5 linked regions of the Ovis aries genome follow. The protein of the gene in region 3 binds, or shares a complex with, the protein of the main gene of each other region. Links are inferred from orthologs where the notes say so. Each region holds a gene or a part of one and is shown on either strand. Other genes may lie near its edges. The genes, in order: CPLX1, NAPA, VAMP2, SNAP25 and STX8.

What was found.
Region 1: the proteins of VAMP2 (region 3) and CPLX1 are in contact, whole or in part, in a crystal structure (PDB 1KIL), measured with the Rattus norvegicus proteins. The link is inferred for Ovis aries from reciprocal best matches to the Homo sapiens genes VAMP2 and CPLX1. Residues at the interface, in NP_036795.1 of Rattus norvegicus: Arg47, Val50, Asp51, Leu54, Asp57, Gln58, Ser61, Asp64, Asp65, Asp68, Ala69, Gln76; in NP_074055.1 of Rattus norvegicus: Leu41, Arg48, Tyr52, Glu56, Arg59, Glu60, Met62, Arg63, Ile66, Arg67, Tyr70, Gly71, Ile72.
Region 2: the proteins of VAMP2 (region 3) and NAPA are in contact, whole or in part, in a cryo-EM structure (PDB 3J97), measured with the Rattus norvegicus proteins. The link is inferred for Ovis aries from reciprocal best matches to the Homo sapiens genes VAMP2 and NAPA. Residues at the interface, in NP_036795.1 of Rattus norvegicus: Gln36, Ala37, Asp40, Glu41, Val43, Arg47, Val50, Asp51, Leu54, Glu55, Gln58, Lys59, Arg66; in NP_542152.1 of Rattus norvegicus: Arg116, Thr118, Lys122, Ser157, Ser159, Ser160, Lys163, Leu197, Tyr200, Ser201, Lys203, Arg239, Ser268, Ile269, Arg271.
Region 4: the proteins of VAMP2 (region 3) and SNAP25 are in contact, whole or in part, in a crystal structure (PDB 1SFC), measured with the Rattus norvegicus proteins. The link is inferred for Ovis aries from reciprocal best matches to the Homo sapiens genes VAMP2 and SNAP25. Residues at the interface, in NP_036795.1 of Rattus norvegicus: Asn25, Thr27, Ser28, Asn29, Arg30, Arg31, Leu32, Thr35, Gln38, Val39, Glu41, Val42, Ile45, Met46, Asn49, Lys52, Val53, Glu55, Arg56, Lys59, Leu60, Glu62, Leu63, Arg66, Ala69, Leu70, Gly73, Ala74, Gln76, Phe77; in NP_112253.1 of Rattus norvegicus: Gly131, Gly132, Phe133, Ile134, Arg135, Arg136, Asn139, Leu150, Glu151, Ser154, Ile157, Gly158, Leu160, Arg161, Ala164, Leu165, Met167, Gly168, Ile171, Asp172, Gln174, Asn175, Ile178, Asp179, Ile181, Met182, Ala185, Asp186, Asn188, Lys189.
Region 5: VAMP2 (region 3) and STX8 share a complex: the UniProt entries of both Homo sapiens proteins name them as parts of the SNARE core complex. The link is inferred for Ovis aries from reciprocal best matches to the Homo sapiens genes VAMP2 and STX8.

The regions. Positions count from the first base shown.
Region 1 is NC_056059.1:118,209,473-118,212,981, reverse strand, and holds part of CPLX1 (complexin-1), read right to left. Parts: intron 3,458-3,509; coding exon 3,282-3,457; intron 1-3,281. UniProt on the Homo sapiens protein: Positively regulates a late step in exocytosis of various cytoplasmic vesicles, such as synaptic vesicles and other secretory vesicles.
Region 2 is NC_056067.1:54,244,466-54,248,719, forward strand, and holds the start of NAPA (alpha-soluble NSF attachment protein), read right to left. Parts: upstream 2,809-4,254; 5' UTR 2,662-2,808; coding exon 2,564-2,661; intron 1-2,563. UniProt on the Homo sapiens protein: Required for vesicular transport between the endoplasmic reticulum and the Golgi apparatus. Together with GNA12 promotes CDH5 localization to plasma membrane.
Region 3 is NC_056064.1:27,613,608-27,617,612, forward strand, and holds the start of VAMP2 (vesicle-associated membrane protein 2), read right to left. Parts: upstream 2,810-4,005; 5' UTR 2,708-2,809; coding exon 2,706-2,707; intron 2,202-2,705; coding exon 2,081-2,201; intron 1,615-2,080; coding exon 1,456-1,614; intron 1,363-1,455; coding exon 1,311-1,362; intron 749-1,310; coding exon 732-748; 3' UTR 1-731. UniProt on the Homo sapiens protein: Involved in the targeting and/or fusion of transport vesicles to their target membrane. Major SNARE protein of synaptic vesicles which mediates fusion of synaptic vesicles to release neurotransmitters.
Region 4 is NC_056066.1:3,295,101-3,299,105, reverse strand, and holds the start of SNAP25 (synaptosomal-associated protein 25), read right to left. Parts: upstream 2,807-4,005; 5' UTR 2,659-2,806; intron 2,256-2,658; exon of another isoform or gene 2,100-2,255; intron 1-2,099.
Region 5 is NC_056064.1:28,677,261-28,681,268, forward strand, and holds the start of STX8 (syntaxin-8), read right to left. Parts: upstream 2,809-4,008; 5' UTR 2,797-2,808; coding exon of another isoform or gene 2,780-2,796; intron 1,511-2,779; 5' UTR 1,486-1,510; coding exon 1,403-1,485; intron 1-1,402. Other genes in the region: CFAP52 (cilia- and flagella-associated protein 52), read left to right, coding at 3,633-3,714. UniProt on the Homo sapiens protein: Vesicle trafficking protein that functions in the early secretory pathway, possibly by mediating retrograde transport from cis-Golgi membranes to the ER.

The sequences.
Region 1 (3,509 bases), on a different chromosome or scaffold from region 3:
TTTGACCCCAGGGGATATTTGGCAATATCTGGATACATTTCAGGTTGTGAGGTTGGGGGTGGGGGCATGGGGCACCCCATGGGGCACCCCACCCCAGACAGCAGGAAGGGGCTGCAGGAAGTGGGTCTGGGGCCTGGGGGCCAGCGAGGGCCATTGGGGGAACCACTCCAAAAGGTCAGGGGTCCCACCTGTGGGGGCAGGGGGGCGGGAGGGGGTCACCTTGGAAGGCCAGGTTGAGAAGGGCTCTGCAGCCACGGGGGACCAGGCAGGGCCAGGGGATGTGATGGGGGGCGGCGTCGGTGGGTAGGGGGCTCCAGGCGCAGAGCTCATCGTCAGGATGTCTGGGGAGAGAGGGCAGTGGTGACCCCCACCCTGGATGGCCGGGGCAGCCTGTCCTTCCATAGCCGCGCTGTCCACCTCTAGGGTCTTGTGGGCAGAGCGGGCTCCTCTCTGTTGAGCTGGAGGCTCCTTGAAGGAGGTAACCAAATTCTTGGAGACCAACACTGAGGCTGTGAGGACCTGGGGCTTTGGGGCTCTAACATCCAGAGTGCATCAGACCCTGAGCTGCCTCCGACCCATGAATGGGGGCACTCATCATCAGCCTGTCTCCCCTGAACACCGACAGGCCTGGCCCCCACCTGTCAGACTCAGCTGCGTGTGTCGGCATGCTCCCCAACACACCACACCTTCCCTGCAGGCTGCCCCCAAGGACCAAGCCCTGGCCCCCTCGTCCCGCCTCATCCTCTGGTCGCAGAAGCTGGGCTTGGGCTGGTAAGGAAACTGCGGCCCCAGCCCCTGCATGGGGTGGGGCCCAGCTCTGACCCCTGCCCAGGCAACTGAACTCAGCAGACACCATCGTGCCCCATGGGCGGGTGAGACCAGACCCTGGACGTGCCCAGGAAGGAGGCCTGGGCCCAGCAGGGAGACCGTCCACCGTGGCTGATGGAGCCGCGGTGGGTCTGGGGACTGCCAGGGTCCAGAAGCGGCCTGGGGTCTGTGGAGGCAGTTCAGAAGCAAAGGCACTCAGCCCACCCACGGGGGTCCCAGATGGGGGTGATGCTCGTCTGGGGAAGCAGCACCACTGTCCAAGCGACCCCCGGGGCACCAGGCTAGGGGGCCGTGGGGCTCTGCCCAAGGCTGCAGCCTTCCGTGCTGTCGCCCTGGAAGCTGGGGTCCTGAGGGTGGGGGTGGTGAGGGTCGCCCTGCCCCCTGGCCTCCCATGGAGCTGCCCGCAGGGTGGGGACACACCCTCCATTTTCACTGGGACTCACTTTGTGACTTGTGAGTGCCACTCGGTTCCCTGAGGAAGAAAAGGACGCTGGAGCTGATGCCTGTTCACTCACTCACTCGTTTGCTCAGCATGCAAGGCCAAGTGCAGTCAGAGTCCCTGCCCTCCCTGCAGGGGATGGACAGTGAGCAGCAACCCAGTGAGAAGTGTGTGTCAGAGGAGGGGGGCTTCTCAGGTGGCTCAGCGGTAAAGAGTCTGCCTGCCAAAGCAGGAGGACACCGGAGACTGAGGCTGATCCCTGGGTCGGGAAGATCCCTGGAGGAGGAAAAGGCAACCCACTCTGGTACTCTTGCCTGGAGAACCCCACGGACAGAGGAGCCTGGCGGGATCGCAGGGAGCTGGACGCAACCGAGTGCGCAGGCATGCTCCCAGATGAAGGCCGGTGCGGAGCGAGGAAGGCAGGAGAGGAGCGCAGAGGCGGCAGGGCGGCGGGGCCTCAGGGAGCCCCAGAGCGCAGCAGCCAAGCAAAGGCCCTGGGGCAGTGGGAGCCCTGAGGGGCAGTGTCCCCACGCCCCTGGGGCTGGAGCCCCAGGGAGATGGGGCCGCTGGACAGTCTGAGGAGGGGAGGGGCAGAAGGGGCTTCCTATTACAGGCAGAATGCCTGAGCTGTCTCTCTGCCTTCTGGCCCCTCCCCGCCCATGGCTGCCTCCCTCTCTGCTGTCTGTGTGCTCTTCCTGGCCCTTCCCCAAAAGGCTCTGAAAGTCTTGTGGTTGGTCCTGGGGGTGAGGGTCTCATCAGCTGCTGCCCCAGCACAATCAACTTAAACTTTCTGCCCAGAAAGGTGTCCAGTGACCAGTGACGGGACACCAGGGTGCACCCCACCCTCCATCAGCATGGGGGCCCCCGTGGGCCCAGAGACCTGCAGGCGCCCGCCTGTGTCCGCATCGCAGAGGCCCTGCGAACCAGGCAGGAGGGAGGGGCTGGGGACTGTGGAGACGCCCTCTGGACGACCCCTCTGCCCATGCCCGGTCCCCTCCCACAGGCTTCAGCCAGTGTCTGGAAACACTTCCCTCAGGGCCCAGAGATGGGAGTGTCAGGGGGAGCAGGACAGAATTGAGAGGCAGCACCCCCAAACTGAGTCCCCCCCCCCAGGTCTCTGGGTGGAGAGGCCTGGCCCGTGTGGACCCCCGAGTGGTGCTCAAGGCCCAAGACGCTGTGGACCGTGGGAGGCCACGTGCTTCAGGACATCGTGGGGCCCTGGGGAGGGCCCTTGCTTCTCCACCTGGCCTGCAGGCCGGCCCACCCTGGAAGAGGCAGGAGCAGCTGCCCCATGCCTGCCCTTCCGACCCACAGCTGGGTGGGCACCTGAGGGTGGGCAGTGGACAGGCCCCTGGGGCCCGCAGCTGACAGCCTCCCATGTCTGCCCCTGCTCTGGCCTCGGGTCCCGGCCGGGTGTGTGCGCATGCCGTGCACACAGAGGAAGGTGCCAGAGGGTTCTGGAAAGATGACCTCGAGCTCCCAGCCCACCCCCAGCCAGCCCACACAGCCACAGACCTGCCCCCAACACCCTGTCATTCACCTCAGGGGCCTAAGGCCCACCCGGGCGGGGTCAGGGGCATCCTCCAGCCCAGGACGATTCACCCACCTGCAGCCCGCCGGTGGGCCAGCCCCTGGCCGCCCTGCCTCTCCTCTCCAGAAGGGCCTGCCCTCCAAGTCCCTGGGGGCAGTCCTGGGGGCAGCCACGGGAGCTTGTCCTACAGAAGCCAGCACGCCAGCCCGGGATCCTGGGAGGAGGGGTCCAGCCCCCGCCACCGGAGCCAGGAGGACTCGGACCGCAGGGCGAGCCCCAGGCCCGGTGAGCGTGTGCAGACGCGCGCGCTGGGACGCGGGATCTCCCCCGCCCGCCCCCTCCCCGGGGGGCCCTCCGCGAGGTCCGTTCTGCGAGCCTCGGAGGAGGGCGGGCGGCGGCCCAGCCCGGCTTCGCCCAGCCCTCGCGCAGGCAGCACCCCCAGCCCGGCCCCGGCCCCCGGTGCCGAGCCGCCGCCGCGCCCACCTTGTCGCGGATGCCCTGCCGCACGGCCTCGCGCTCCGCCTCCATCTTGGCGTACTTGGCCTTGCGCTCCTCCTCCTCCTGGCGCAGCGCCTCGCGCCGCTCCTCCTCCTTCTTGGCGGCGTCAGGGTCCTTCTCCTCGTCGCCCCCGAGCATCTTGCCCATGTCCTTGGTGGCCCCTGGGCACAGGAAGGCGGGAGTCAGGCCAGGCCCGGCTTCTCCTTGCCCTGC
Region 2 (4,254 bases), on a different chromosome or scaffold from region 3:
CTTTTCTCAAAAAGCCCTCTGGGATGGGGCCTGGTTCTTTAGTCTCATCCCCTTCTGCCTGTTCTACCTTTACGGGCTGACGCAGAACCCCCTGCAGTAAACCTTCAGACGCTGGCCTTCACACATCTGGGCCTTGCTCAAGCTGCCTCCTCTGTTGGGAGCTGTGCTCTCCCACCAGAGAGCACCCCCGGAACTCCTGCTCATCCTCCCAGGTGGAGGCTTCTCCCCACAGGGAGCCAGCCCTGGTCTCTCTGGATCTCAGTTCCCCATCATTTCTGGACAAACCTCCCCTCACCCTAGACCTCTGTTCAGACAATTCCCATTGCCTGGAACACCCTCTCCAGTCCCCACTCCTGTGGCATGTCCCAGGGTTCCCAGGGGCCCAGCTCATTCCTCACCAAGGAGTTCCTTAAGCTCATGCAGCTTCCTCTCAGGTCAGGAACCTCCCACCAATGATAAAATGCAGCCCTTAATCACATGTGACAATTCTGCTTTACTAGTGTGTTAGCAAGTCTTCATCTTGCCTTCCCAGCCAGGTGACAAAGTGTTTCAGGCCCTGACTTGGCTGCTCCTTCCAAGCATGGCCCAACAGTACACTAATCCCCAGGGACCAGACACCAAAAGCCACCCAGTAAAACCATGACCTGACTGAAAACTAAGCTCTTGGCCCCACCACAAAGCACTGCACTTGAGTTTCTCCCCTTGTGAAGGAAGCAGAAACACAGACACGCTCTCCCTACTCTCAGCCTCTGAAAGAAAACATTCCTCACCTAATCAATACAGTCCATCAGCCCCGGATGTTTTTCCACACTAGCGAGGTCTCAGCCAGGTTACTCAAGTTCTTGCGGTGGATAAGTAAACATTATCCACCACTTGTAACAATGAGCGGTTCCCATCTCCTCTCCGGGGAAGAACCCTCCTCCTCATTTCTTACCAACCTCCTAACACCGTCTCTCCTAAAGCCCCAGTCTTCCCCCGCAAACCCCGTCCCCAGCCTTGGCCTCTCTGCTGCCAGGTTCCATGGCCCCTCCTCACAGTTCCTCCTAACTCTCTACACACCCGCCTGTTCCCCTGCAGCTCTCCTCCCAGTTTCAAGAGCAACACAACGTTCCTCAGTCCTCCCTGGCTCTCTCTCCACCGGAGGTCTCAAGCCCCTTCCCCTAACCCTATCAAGTCCCCATGGCCCGAATTCCTTCCCCAACCCCTTTCAACTCCTTACTCATCACATCGCCTCTCCCTGCTCTGACAGCCCCCCTCCCACTTCTCCCATCAAACCCCCACCTTGATCCCCATCAGTCCCGCCCATCAAACCCCCACCTTGATCCCCATCAGTCCCGAACAGGCTCCATACCTGTTTCTTTCCCGGAAATGACACTGATGGTAGCTAACACTTTCAGAGTGATAACCACGTCCCAGGCTCAATTCTACACCCTTTACGCGTGCCCTACTTCAATACTAGTGGCAAATGCCTGAGACAGGTTTCTCTGAGACACCACTTCCCCATAATAAGGGAAGTTAAACAGCTTGCCCAAGGTCAAGAAATGGCAGAGCCTAGGCTTCTGACCTGAGCTTTTGATCCTCCTCAGCCACTAAAATTCCTCAAACGACAGTCATCAGAACAACTCTTATGAGCCAACATGAACTCATGTGAAATGTCTGCCACAAGCATTAGGTGTTGATTCTGTTTCCCAGCCCCCTTCAGCCCTAACCTGGGCATGCCAGTCTCATTCTGCTCACACTGCATGCCCCATCTTTACTCAAAGATCACACAGCAGGCCTCCGGCCCCTTAGGTTTTCTTATCTCCCTCATCTTTCATTTTTATCCCACCAGTTCCTAAACCAAGCTTCACTCCCACTTAGTTTCCAGCCTCCCAGCCCTCTTCGGCCTTCACTCCATCACCCCAGAGCTTCCTCTGTTCAGATCTCACTTGGCAGTCAGGTCTCTTTACACTAGTCACCTGTGACCTGGGCCATATTCACCTGAGACACTTCACGCAATTCAGACTGGGTCCATCAATCGTAGGATCATCTTAGCCCTGACGCCCGGGCCAGAGTTCACGTAAGTCCATCACCCCAGGTCTCGGAAAAGGGACGCCCTCAGGCATAAGTCCTCAGTCTCAGGGCCCAAGACTCCCGTCTGGGATCTTTCAAACAGGCTCTCCTTGAGCTCCAAAAGGCTTCCTAGCCTGGCTTCCCTCCAGGCTCCCTCGGTCCCCGCAGGCCACATTCCCTTCAAGGCCTGAGGCCGTATTCCCCTGGCCCTTTGGCCCGTCTCCAGCCTGGGGCCCCTTCCTGCCTCCAGATGGTTTCGCCTCGGCCCGGGTGTCCTCAGCCCACGGCCCTGCCACAGTCTCGGACAGTCTTTCCTCGAATCACGCTGTCAGTGCCACAGTCCGGCGTCCCGGCCATGGCTTGTACCCTCTGCTGCCTCAGACCATGCCCGTAAGCCCGCAAACCCCCGCGTCCTCTAGGCTCGAGCCCTTCGCCTCTACCGCCGCCCCAGAGCATGACTCCTCCGTCCTCTCAGCCGAGGTCCCGGCCGACCCCTGCGCGCGGTTCTTACCCAAAGAGGCCCGAGAAGAAAGACTGCGAGTTCTTCACTTTGCGCTCCGCCTCGGCCAGCAGCGCCATCGCCTCCGCCTCCTTCCCGGAGTTGTCCATAGCGGCCGCAAAAGTACTCAGCAAACCGCCGGAGCCCTGCCCTCGGAGAACTCAGATACGACCGGGTCGCAGGAGACAGGTCGGGGGAGCTTAGTGGGCTGCGTTGACGTCGCACCGGCGCGCGCCTCCTGCGGCCAGGAACCACGTGATTCGAGCTGGCCAACCAACGGCCTCGTAGCGCGGCGTGCGCACCGCAGACCACGCCCTCTCCAGCCGAGGCACGCCGCCCCGTGATTCACGGCCTCCAATCAGCGATCCAATTTTTAACGCATGCGCATGTATCTGTCTTAGGGTGCCTGGTGCGCTGGTTGATAACCCACGTGATTCCGCACAAGCCAATCGTAGCCCTCAGCGCCAAGGACCCGCCTCCTGGGCTTGTTCCTGCTCCACCAATCAACTTCAGCCTTTGGCTCCGTCTGACTTCCCTGCGGAATTTAGACCCTAGTCAGCTGATCCCTAATCGTCACGTGATAGCTCCATGCCGGAAGACTGGGTTTGACAGCTCTTTTGCGCAGAGCTTAGTCCCCGCCTCCTCTCATTACCTCCTGAAGGTCTCTTTCACTTGGAAAGGCGTCCGTGGGTAAGAAGGAAAGCGGTCTCCGTTTTGTTGCGCCCTCTGTCGACCTATGCTGAAATTGGTTTGGGAAGACCAGAGAAGGCTGCATATCTCATTTTATTGTGCTTTGCTTTCTTGCCCTTCCAAGATACACTTTAAAAAAAAACAAATTGAAGGTTTGTGGCAATCCTGCATTAAGCAGTTCTCTCAGAGCTGTGCGGTTTCCCAAACAGCATTGGCTCATTTAGTGTCTCAATGCCACGTTTAATAATTCTCACAATATTTTAAAGTTTTTTGTTACTCTTGTTAGGATGACCTGTGATTGGTGACCTTTGATGTTATTATTAAGACTGGCTCAGATAATGATTAGCATTTTTTTGCAATAAAATATTTTTAAATTATACATTTCTAAAATAATGCTGCTGCACCCTTAATAGACTGAAGTAGTCTTTCCTGGTGAGTTACTTGGACAGAGGAGCCTGCCCGGCTAAAGTTCATGGGGGTCTCAAAGAGTCGGATGCAACTGAGCGACTGACACACATACACACATAGTGTAAACATAACTTACATGCACTGGGAAACAAAGGGAAAGTCATGTGTCTGGCTTTATTTATGAACTGAACCTGCAATGTCTTAGAGGTATGCAGAGGGGAGCAGAGGTTGTCTAACGCTGGTTTCATTTAAAAAAAAAAAAAGCTAGTGAAACTGTTAAAAATTTAGGTTCAATTATATCTAGCGCCCAGATCTTAGTTTTTAATACTCTTTGTTCTCCAACAAAAGGAACGAGAGCTCCTTGGATAAAAGGCTGGTTCTAGGACACTGCACAGGATGAGCCTGGAAGGTCTTGTAGTTCCAGAAGGTAAGTCTCCTGGCCTCCATCTCTTTGTTTCTCTGCCTCCACCCTCCCACACACACCCCCACACCCCCACACACACCATGAATCTCCTTCTCCCTCCCTCCCTCTCTCTTTCTCTCTCTCTCTCTCTCACACACACACACACACACACACACACACACACACACACGATGAGGTATAT
Region 3 (4,005 bases):
AGGCTCCCCACCACCTGCAAGTAATGTCATGCAAATGAAAGTGTGATACAAGGACCAACAGGGACTAAATCCTCAGTAAAAAAAGAAACACAGGTTGAAAGACTGAACAGAAAAGTGATGGGAGGGAAAGGAAACCAAAAGGAATGTCAGTAGGCAAATGGATGCTAATTAACATGCTAGAAGCTCCCAGAAGACCATGGGATTCTTAGGACCAAGAGGGACCAGTCTCAGAGCCTCCCAATGATGCAAAGAAAATGCACCTAGGGAAGCCTGGACAGTTGCTTTTTGTCTTTTTTGTATGGGGGTGAGGGTGGGGGGTGGGGGTGGAGGTATGGGGAAGGCCAGGGTGGGAGGAAGGGTCAGCTAAATCCAAGGGAAGGAGAGGAAGAGGGACTATTGCATAGCAGATGCAAATGAAGGAGACTTGGGGTTGGTCAAGAAGAGAGGGAAAGGGAAGGAGGGAAAGAGGAAAAGGAAGTGATGAGAACCTCAGGAAGGGGTGTTAAGGACAACTGGAAAAAATCTTCTAGTAATAAAACTACAAACAGACCAAATATATATAATATTATATATGTATAAATAACAGCTGGCTATTTACAAGGGGGCGCACACACGACACACACACACGGATCCGGGGGAGATGGGGCTGGAAGATATGGCTGAGAGGTGGAGGAGCGGCTGGGGGTTGGGGGGAGAGGCCCTTCTCTGGGCAGGGCAGGCTCCTCAGGGGTTTAAGAGCTGAAGTAAACTGTGGAGAGGGAAAGAGAAGGAAGAAGACGGAGAAGGGAGGAAGAGAAAGAGAGAAAGCAGTGTGTCAGCCCAGCCCTGCTCCCACCTTCCCCACCTCCCAGCTAGGTGACATCCCTTCCCCTCTTGGCCTCAGGTTCTTCACCTGTAAAGCAAGGAATCTACACAGATTGGTTCCCAGATCTCCTCAACTCCATGGTATGGCCTTGGGGCCACAGATCCCTAATCCTCTGAGACCACAGCTCTCAAACAATGGGGTGGTTTGCTTCCCAGCTGTTTCTCAAGCCCCTCAGTCTCTGCTGCTCTCCCACTCCCCAATTCCAGGTTCCCAGTCTATTATGCTCTTCCTGTTTTTGAAAATCTTAACAGAAATGGCCCAGAATCAGGCAAAGTGCAAGCTAAACAACTTCAAGGTTTGGGGCTCTAGATGAATCAGAACTGCTACTGGCAACCATATATACTTTTTCCTAAATACTAAAATCTAGGTTAATGACCTTCAAAACCCAGAAACCGCAGGGGAACCCTCTCCATGAAAGGGCCCTAGCCACTCCCACCCTACTCACCGATGATGATAATGAGGATGATGGCGCAAATCACTCCCAGGATGATCATCATCTGGGGGTGAGGGGGAGGCTCAGTGAGACAGACCAGGATACTCCCATTCACCCCCCACCTCCTCCCTGTCCTCCCACCTGCCTCCACCCTTACCTTGAGGTTTTTCCACCAGTATTTGCGCTTGAGCTTGGCTGCACTAGTTTCAAACTGGGAGGCCCCCGCCTGGAGGGCGTCGGCACGGTCGTCCAGCTCCGACAGCTTCTGGTCCCGCTCCAAAACCTTGTCTACGTTCACCCTCATGATGTCCACCACCTGAGGGAAGGCCCACAAGGCAGCGGTGTGTGTGCCAAGGTCCATCTCAAAGGGCACTCCTCCACACACCATGAGCTCACACAGGGAACAGGCATCATGTGGCCTGGCTAACATGCCAAGGACATATACAGAACATGCCTAGCACACCAGAGAAATGCAAGCAGCACACAGCAGGGGCATGTGGTATCCACACTGCTCAGATGTCACAGCACCACTCTTTATTTACTGAGCCTCAAGCAGCCTTCCGTTCACCAGAGCATCCACCCAGGGTGAAACACCTCAGGTTAGCCAGGCCAACATCCCCACGGGCCCTCCCATACTTGCACGCTGACAAGGACGGGCCATGGTATATTTTCGTACCCAAACATGAACTGCCATCACCCCCCAACCCAAAATGGACCCCCGTGTCGGTTTGTCAACCCTCAGGGTCCTTCCCACTGTTTCTGACACCACCACCTCCACTCACCTCATCCACCTGGGCCTGGGTCTGCTGCAGTCTCCTGTTACTAGTGAGGTTTGGAGGGGGCGCAGGAGGGCCTCCCTCCCCAGCCGGGGCGGCAGGGGGGGCGGTGGCAGCGGTAGCCGACCTGAGGGGCAGGGACGGATTAAGAACCAAGGCCTGCAGCCCTTGGCCCCGCAGCCAGGGCTCCGCCCATCCGCCTGTCCCTCCATCCGTCCCTCCCTTCCTTCTTGCCGGGTAGAAAGCCACTCGATGCGAGCCCTGGCCTCCGTCCGGGCCCGCGGGCGAGCTGCTGCGTGACCTTGAGGGAGGCCCCCTCCCCCTCGGGCCTCAGTTTCCCCGCCTGTCAAACGAGGGCGACCTCACAGACACGGTCTGGGGTGGACCCAGCAGCGATGATAGAGGCGGAGCGGCCAGATGGGGAGTCCGCCCCCTCTCGCGGTCAGCCTCCGCGCGGCCAGCCCGGGACGCGGGGCTCTCCTAATGCCCGCGCGCAGTCACAGGCGCCGGCCTGGTCTCGGGACGCGGGGCGCGTGGGGGACGCGAGTCGAACCCCGAGCCCTCCCCAGGCCTGGGCCTAAGGGCGGCGGCCAGTGCCGGCCAGGCGGTGCAGGTGCGGGCGCCGACTCACATGGCGGGGGCAGCGGGCGGAGGACTTGGCAGCGGCAGTGATGGCGGCGGCAGCGGAGGCTCGAGCTGGCTCCGACTGGCGCTGGCTGCCCGGGACGGGAAGATGGCGGCCGCACGTCACCCACATCCGGGCACTGCGGGCGGGGGCGGGGCGCGGCGGGCCACTAGTCGGCCGCCGGGCCGCGGGGGCGGGGCGCCGAGGGCGGGGATCGCGGCCTGCCAGGTGGCGGGTCCGGCGCCGCCTGGCCCCAGCCTCTCCCTCGCTGCCTGCGAACCCTGAGCCTGGTGGCAGGGCTCCCTACACCCACCACTAGCCCACCGGGTCTGACCCCAGCCCTCCCCGAGGTCCTCGCGGTCCCCCTGCCCCCACCGCCTGGCCCTTGAGGCGCCCTTCAGCCCCAAACACATCCTCCTCCTCGGTGAAAGCCGTCAACCTGTCCGCACCCCACGCAGCCCCAGGTCCCAGCCTGCTCCCACGTCCCAGTGCGGGTTGAGCAGCCTTGAGCATTTGGAAGGAGCAGGGGGGTTGGAAATCAGAAGGAGCAAGTGCAGGTCGGAGGCAGTGTGAATAGCTGGGATCCTGGGAGTGGTGGGAATTGATCCTCAACCCTCTGCCTTGCGAGTGGCTATCCAAAAGGAGGTCTGGGAACCGTGATAGCAACCCCCTCCTCGCAACTGAGGTTCAGACCAGGGTTCCTTGGCAGGCGAGGCCTGTCTGAGGTGGGGCAAGCTTGGGAACCCGGGAGAAGGGCACTACGCTGCCCTGTGGGGCCGCTTCATGTGGTGGCTTCAGACTGGCAGAAACCTAGCTCTGACCCAGAGTTGAGTAGCTACCCTGGCAGCCGGAAGAGGGCTCAACCTCTGATCCCAGGCACAGGGCTAAAGGACAAGGCTTACGCATTTTGTTTTGTTTTATTTTGTTTTGTTTTGGCTTTTCTTTACCGGGATGGAGAGTAAGTGGGCAAGGGCGGCACCTGCGGTACGCAGGGACTTGGTACTACTTTACCTAAGGATTAGCCTCATGCGTGTGACATAACAGCTCCTGTCCTACCTCTAGACCCAAAATGTATTAGGTGTGTCGAGTCTATACCTATATTTGTTAAATGTCTAGATGTAAGACATGGTAGGGAATTATCCACAGCCCTTTCCACACCTGGTCTCTGTTTAGGTCGTCTAAACTGGCCCAGCATCTCTCACCCACCCACCGTGCTCTTTCCAGCAGGAGTGGCCCCTCAGGAAGGAGGCGATGGGTGTAAATGAGCTGCCTGTCCGGTGGGTTGTGACAAGCCTCAAGAGTGAAG
Region 4 (4,005 bases), on a different chromosome or scaffold from region 3:
ATAAGATTACAAATTGTTTCGTGTTCTGAATGCCAAGGTGGTAAAGCAGAAAATTCCAGCGAGCAAACAGGCAGGGGCCATCAGAAGGTCTGTGTTAATGTTTCTTGGCAAGTCTTTACATCCATCTGCTTCTGCCTCTTCTCACTGTATTGCCCTGGATTTTTTAAATTTAAAACTTAAGATAGGAAATATCTCGATTTTTTTCCCTGAAGCTTATCAATAATGTAAATGTTAAAATTCATGTTTCAATTACATTTCTGTTTAACTTCTCAGTAAGCCATTAGCTCCATAATTGTGCACATCAACACTTCCTCCCAGATCTGTGCCCTTTGCCAGCTTCACTGCAGTCCTCTACCTCTGCCCCACCGTCCCAGTCTTCCACTACAAACAAACCCAGCAGTAATTACTAATGACCAAGCACGTAATTCCGGAAGCGTTGAGCTTTTTCATTTGTCGCAACTACGCAGAGAGCTGTCTGGACATGCAGCATGGAGTCAAAGCATTTTTAAAGACTCCTAGCCATCTTGTCTCCCCTCCTCCCATCACTAAAACACAGTTGTTTATTTCATCTGTAGACTGCAGAGTTATAAAATTCATCTATGCAGTTACATACACTTCAATAACAATTTTACATTTGTATCCAACAACAGTTGAATATATACTTACATGGAACCACATAGTTATCCATAAAAAACTGTAGAACAGTAGTAAATAAATAGCCAGGAATGAAAAATACTTTCTCTATGTGGATAGGGCATTTGAGCACCTCTAGCATATAAATGACTGGACTTAATGACTAGCCCCAATATAAGATCTTATTTTAAGGCTTTTCAAGGGATCATGCTAACGTTTATTTAATATGTGGTATCTACATTCTTACACATGATGCTGTTACTCTTATTTAACAACTACTCAGCGAGCACAGTTTTGTTCCTGGTCATTTTATATTGATTTTTGTCTATGCCAAATGGCTGGAAATATCCCTGTAACAATTTTTGTTCACTCAGAGGCTCAAAATGTCAGAGTAGAAAATAGTTAAAGTACTTATCACTGCCTCAGCAAAATCCCGCAGTGCTGTAAAGGAAATTACAGTAGATCTTTAGGTCAGAGTCCAGTTTCAGTCTAACACTATGGTCCTTCCATCTGCATCACACTGAAGGGCACGGTTGGATTCTCCGGAGGAAAACCAGTCTTAATGTTGTCAAAATCAGAAAATTATCCTGAGATAACCAATGTCCATAGGAAACACTTCCTCTCATTCTGAAATCATGGCCAAAGAGGTTAAATCTACACCCTGAAAGACCCATAATATTTCTTACAGATGTATTTTTATGGGTATGTGCTTCTGTTCATGCCTAATTACAAAGATAAAGAAGAGGAAGAGGGATTCATTATTGAAGTTGATTTCGCTTAGTTCAATTACCCCCATATTTTTTTTTATCAAATAGATATATGTCAAAAGATATAACACTCCTATAAAGAGATCGTGTTGCCATCTTCATATATACCCTTATCCATGACCACCTAGGATCTGTAGACAGATCTATTTTGTGTCAATAAATAAAACCCCTGATTTCCTACTGGAAGATAAGTACAGATCTTTAAAAATGTGTTTGTTTTCTACCTTAAAAAGGCGGGGGGGTAAGGAGAGGGAGAGAGTAACACAGAAAATTTCCATAAGTAGACTTTTTTCTGAAGCTATACAGGAGCTAAGCATGGGAACTGGTAATTGCCTGCAGAGGGGTCCGGTAGGAAGGATTTATTTTTCCCTTTTAACCTACTATGCCTGCTCTATTAGGGATATCCGAGAGATCGGAGTCTCAGAGAAGCAGTTTGGCCTGAAACTAGCCCTGGCCAGGCGTCTCTGCCGCAGGTAGATGCGGCGCTGTGGCCGGACCGCTATCCGCGGTGCTGAAAGGTGGCGGGCGCCAACGCAGTCCCCCGATGTTGCTGTCCAGGGTGCTGAGCGCGGGCCGCCGCAGTCCCGGAGGCGAGCCCGAGCCCCCGCCCCCGCCAGTCTTCCGCAGAGCCCTCCCACCCAGCACTACCCGCCCGCCTTCCGCCAGCCTGCTGTTGACGTGGAGCAGGCGGCATAAATCAAGTCTGTGGGGCATGGAGGCTGCTGTGGCGGCTGCAGCTCAGCTTGCCCGGGGCGGGAACTCCCCTTTCTTTCGCCTCCCAGCGCCCGCACCCTGCCTTCTACCTAATTTTTCCCTGGATAACAGCGCCCTAACGACAGCAGTCATGATAATAAGGTCAGAACGACAGGGTTGGTTTGTTTTCATCTACAGAAGGGGGGGTGGGGGGAGAATAAAAACAGCAGCCTAAACATCTCTGAAAACTGCATCGCAAAATGGAAGAGAGAGGGTCCCACTACTGTTTCAAAAGAGTAAGTTATTCCGTACGTATTCTTGCGCTTCCACCCCATCGCTCCATCTGCACTATCCCCATTCACCCCTTCCCTAAGCAGCTCACCTCGAAAATACTTTATAAAGCCCTAGGCGAGAGTCTAGCCGGACGCACACAGATGGAATACCGCACCCTGGGTGCACAAATTCTTGTATTTGCTCAAGCTCACTTGGTCTGCCCAGCTGTGGTCCCTTCTGGGTATGCAGCCAGCCAGTGCCAGATCCACGACCTGGGGAGGGGTCTCCTTACCTTGGCTTCTCCAGAGGGTGGTGTTCGCCTGGCCCCTGCAGGTTCCAAGTGTGGAGGAGCCGCGGAGCCGGGAGGGAAGGAAAGACAGCGCCTGACCTCCCCGAGGTTTTGTCTTCAATGCAACGTGAGCTCTGCCCTCATCAAAGATGGCCGTCCCTTTTGACGTCAGCAGCTTTTAATAGCCATCTCCTGGAGGGGCGGGGAGGAAGTGTTGAGGGGAGGGCGGGGGGAGGACGCGGGCGGGGGTGGGAGGGGAGGAGCCGCGAGGTACTGAGCGCTTGACTCAGCTCCCAGCTCGCTTTACTGCAAAGCTTTGTATTTTAGTCTTTTATAAACACCCGAACGGGACTATTCTTATGATTCCACTTTAACACCCAGGCACGGGCAAATTCATTTATCTCTCGACTGGTCTTCTGATATTGTTTTGTTTGTATAGGTGTGTGTATGTATGTGTATGTGTTATATACATGGACTATATGCGATTATATATATACAAAAAATTTCCCCTGCTGAGTTGAGTCTTTGGTTGAGTCATGAAACGGAAGGGGAAGGCAGAGGAGGAGCAAGGGGTGGGGGATTTCAGTTGCAATTTGCTTTAAAAAAAAAGCTGGTCCGAAGGGGCATCCCTGTCAACCCCCACCAGCTCCATATATGGTCAGGCTACGTGGGTTGCTATTTTTATGAGTGATTTCTTCATTTTATCAAAGTAGCATCGAGGGCTTGGAGTTCGCATTAATATGGTCAGTTGCGGAGAGAGACTAGTACACGTTATTTTAAAGTACGTCAGAGCAATCATCACAGAGATTTCAAAGGAGTTGGGGGAAAGGGTAGGGAATGGTAGGTAGTTAACCCAACCAGCGTGGGTTTGCTGAGTTCAAGGCTTGGAGTTGAGAGCTGTTTGAGGAGGGCAAAATAGATGACGCTGTTTGGGATTGAATTTGCAATCGGAGCCTAGGGTTTTATGTTGAACTTCTTAGTCCACAGAGGCGCCGTACATGCCTTATAGGATTGACTAGGCTTCTGGGGAGCGGGTAGTATGGGAACAGCTACAGGTTCAAGGATGCTGGGACGCTACAAAATTCTGCTGGTTCATTCAGTGCGCAAACCCTGGGTACCAGACGAAGCTGGCCTTGCGATGCTCAAAACAAGACGTGGGCGAGAGAAGCTAGTAGCGCTGGTCATAGGAGAGATTAAAAAGAATAATCATAAAGCAATAATCTTGTCCTTTGTTTTGTGCTTTAGGCGCCAAGAAGGGGAGGGGTGGTGGAGGGCGCATATGCAAATAGTCCCGCGGTGGCAGCCTCTCGGATGATTCATAGGTGTTGGGGAGGCTGTCTCGGGGCTCTC
Region 5 (4,008 bases), about 1.1 Mb from region 3:
GCAGAGTCTTGAGTAGCATAATAATAAGGTTTGAAGGGAATTTGAGAACTGTGGGGTATACTTTTACAGAGAAACTGAGGCCTTGAAGAGGTTATGTGAAACGCTTACGGCCAAAACCCCAGTTGCCTTGCTCCTAATCCTTGGTTCTCACATGAGCTCTACAAACTGGTTCTGAAGTTCTTCTATACATGTGGATCACTGTCTGGTCTGCAAGTCCTCAGTTGTGTCCAACTCTTTTGTGACCCCATGGGTTGTAGCTTGCCAGGCTCCTCTGTCCATGGGATTTCCCGGCAATAATACTGGAATGGGTTGCCCTTTCCTTCTCCAGGGGATCTTCCCACCCAGGGATCCAAGCTGCATCTCCGGCATCAGCAGGCAGATTCTTTACCACTGAAGTACCTTGGAAACCCCCTGAATCACTGGGGACGTGTTTTAAAGCTTCCTCATACCCCAAGTATTCTGATTGAATTGGCAGGGGCCTTGCCCTAGACGTGAGGAGTTGTAAAGCTCCCCGGGAGATTCCAATCTATAGCACAGCTTGAGAACCACTGGCCTAGTGGTAATGGGCAACCTGACGATGGAATCAAACACACAGGCGCCTAAAGTGCTAGTTTAGGAAAAGTAACCTGAACTCCATGTACACAAATCATTGGGAATGAAAGAAGAGTAAAGGAGACCAGTAGAAGACTTCTCCAGCTATTCAGCTCCATAACTAGCCACCAACATTTACTTCTGTAAACCATAAGGCTATAAAGGATTGGACAACAGCAGAAGAGAAAAAAATAAAAATCATGGAGATGAGTCAATAATCTGACAGGACGAATGAAGAAAAAGTAGATAACTAGAGTTTTTTAGGTTTAAGAGACTAAGAGGATGGTGACGCCATGACAGAGGCTGAGGAACTGGAATGGAGAGCGAAAAAGTGATAAAGCTGATTAACTTTTAGCAAAGAGCCTGTTCAGAGACAGTCACCATGCGATATTTCTATCACACAGTGAGCTTACCATTTGCTTTGATATGCCATTAAAAGAGTAACAGTCATATTCTACTTCCAAACATGAGTAAAGCATCACTGACATGATTCTCGATCGCAGGAGGGCGAAGCTGTAATCAAGTCTGTTTTTCTAGATTTTTCTAAGTCCTATTCCCTACTCCTTTCTGCTCTCCTGATCAGCAGCCCACTTTTCAAGGAAGTTGACTGAGCACAGCAGAGTCCCCCAGTGTCTCACTTTCAACAAACATGAGAAAGCTGCTAAGTTAAACTTCTTCAGAGTAGCAGGAGAAATTATCAGTGCTTTTTGCACGTTAACCAAGGAAGAGGCCTAGGGGCTTGGGGATAGTTTCCACCCATCTAAATGGATACCCTGGGACCTCTACCTTATTTCTGAGCTATATATCCTACCTTATGTGTAAAATGAGGGAATTAGCCTCCATGAAGTGGAGGGCAACGCAGCCATCTGTATCAAGGGCCTTAAAGATGTTCATACTCTTGGACCCAGTAGCTCCACTTCTAGGAAGCAAGTCAAAGAAGTGAGAGATGGTACCAAGGGGCAATTAAAAAAAATAAAAGCAAAAAAAACCGTAGTGTTTTTTAAAAAGGTACAAAGGGACAATGATTAAATCACACTCCATCATGGTTATTCACATGATACACTATTAAGCAACATAAAGATTGTGTTTTCAGGGAATATTTGCGATACAGAGAAATGGTCTCTGTTTCTATAAAATACATTATATACACACATATATTACACAAAGTAAAAAATTCATTTAAAAAGTCAACAGCAATTATTCCAGATGATAGAATTAAGGATGTTTCTTTTTTCTTTTTTTCCCTCTGCAAATATTCAGTATTTTCTAAATTTTTCTATCAGGGTGTTAAAATCAGGTGAAAAAAAAATAGTATGGAATCAGTTAAGCCATTGGTCCAGACAATCCAGATCCTAGGTAGATTAACTTTGATCTTGCAAAGTTAATCTATTAATATCCAGACTGTCTGCAAATTAACTATAAACTATGTTAGAAGTACTAATGTGAGACATATTCTCCAAAAAGAACTTTGTAGAGCTAGACGGTTTTTAATTAGTAAACGAAAAGCTCAAGTGAATATGCTATTGCAGTAGGTTCCTTGGATCGGAATTTGTGCCTTTCATCATTCAGTCCTAGGGACTTTACTGTTGAATAAAAGACTCTTCTCAGCTACTGTTTTACTGCATAAGTTGCTGCTGTAGACAGTCTTCATGATACTGAGGTGAGGACAAAATACCTTATCAACAACAGGCATAATTTCCTTCCCAGATTCCTGTAAGTTTTCTTTGAAGGGCGCACAAGATCTAGACCCCAGCGTCAACTGGTTACTAACTCGCTTACTCCCGTGAATTCTGAACCTCGGTTTCGCTACCGGCGAAATAAGGAAATTGACCAGAGGGACTTGGGTTCCACCAAAAAGGTTACTCTGTACTTCACTTTCACAGGAGTCCCGCATCAGCCAGCTCCACCACCAGGATGGAGATGCGGCTCAGAGATTCGGCGCTGGAACTCCTCCAAGTGTACACCGCGTCTCCCACCCCAGCCACCCCTGCAGGACCGAGAGTGGCGGCGGGATGCGACGGAGCGCAGCCCCTCAACCCCCGGCTCTCGGCGGCAGCAGAAGGATCCCTGCTCCCCCACCCCTCATTCTGAAAGGCCCCCGGCCCCAATGCCTAGCGATCACCCGCTCCCCGGAAGCCTGGCCTCCCCCGAGACCGTCCGCGCGCTGCCGCCCTCACCCGGGGCTCACCAGGGGTCCGGGGCCATGGTGCAGTCTCCGCCCGCAGCTCGGACACTTCCTGCTCGCAGCAGCTGACTACGGCGGCCCGCGCGGCTCACACCCTGCGGCTCGACCCGTGCGCGCCCGGAACTCGTAGTTTGCAATATACATACCCTAAGGCCTCCAATCTATTGATATGAGAAAAAGGAAAGCGCTTCCCCGGGGACTGAGGGCTGGACCAGTTTGCGTCCTAAGAGACGCGAACAGCTGGGTGCAATTAAAATAAAATTGTTTTCGAGCAAAATCCCATCATTTTCCCCGGAAGGTGGGAGCCCCTTAAGACCTCTAGCAGTTATTTAACATTTTATTCTGCTTAAAACAAAGAAAAAAAACTGGATTGTGGTGATAATTGCACAATTGTATAAATTTACTAAAACTCAATTTAAATAAATTTTAGGATATGTAATTTATACCTCAATAGTTTGTTTGTTTGTTTTATCCTGCTTCAAGGGACCCAAAGAAGTGTCAATTATATATTATAGCAGCCTTGCCAGCAGAGGCACTTAACTTTGTCTAATTTTTAAATGCCATCAAGTATTTGATTATATCGTTACCCAAAAGGTCACAGACTCTTTACATGGGGGAGGAGGGAATTAGTCTGTCCATTTCGTGCCCCTTAAATTTCCAGAGAAATACTAGAAAATTTAAAAAGAAAAAAAAAAAAATGCCCTCTCGATTTTCGCGAGGGCAAAAGGACTCGGACTCCGTAGGCCGGCTTTCAGCGCGACCGCGGATCTAGCGCGCATGCGCAAGTCCGTTACCATAACGACCAGAAGACGCTGCACCTTCTGTAGGCTGAGAGGAAAGTGAGCGGAGTCTCCAGATGATGGAGACCCAAACTTCGCCCAAGGATGAGGTGGCTGAGGCAGTAGAGCTGGAGCTTGAGGCCGTGATCGGATTCAATGGTGAGACCTCGAGCGTGTCTGGGCTGGGTGGTTTAGGGACCCCAAGGACAGTGTGGTGCAACCAGGGAGAGTGAGACACCAGGTGGCACCTGGAAGGCAGCTTGGGACGCTGGCATGAGTCAAGCACTGGGGACCCAGACAGCCTCTCCTCCCCAAAGATCTTAGAATCATGTCCTCGCTCCAGGCCTTAAAGAATGGGATGGGTTTTGCAAACGTCTGAAAGGAACCAAATGCCCCCTCACTAGGCCATAAGGATAAAAAAAATGCTATCTGAAACCGTTCTCGCACTGGCCA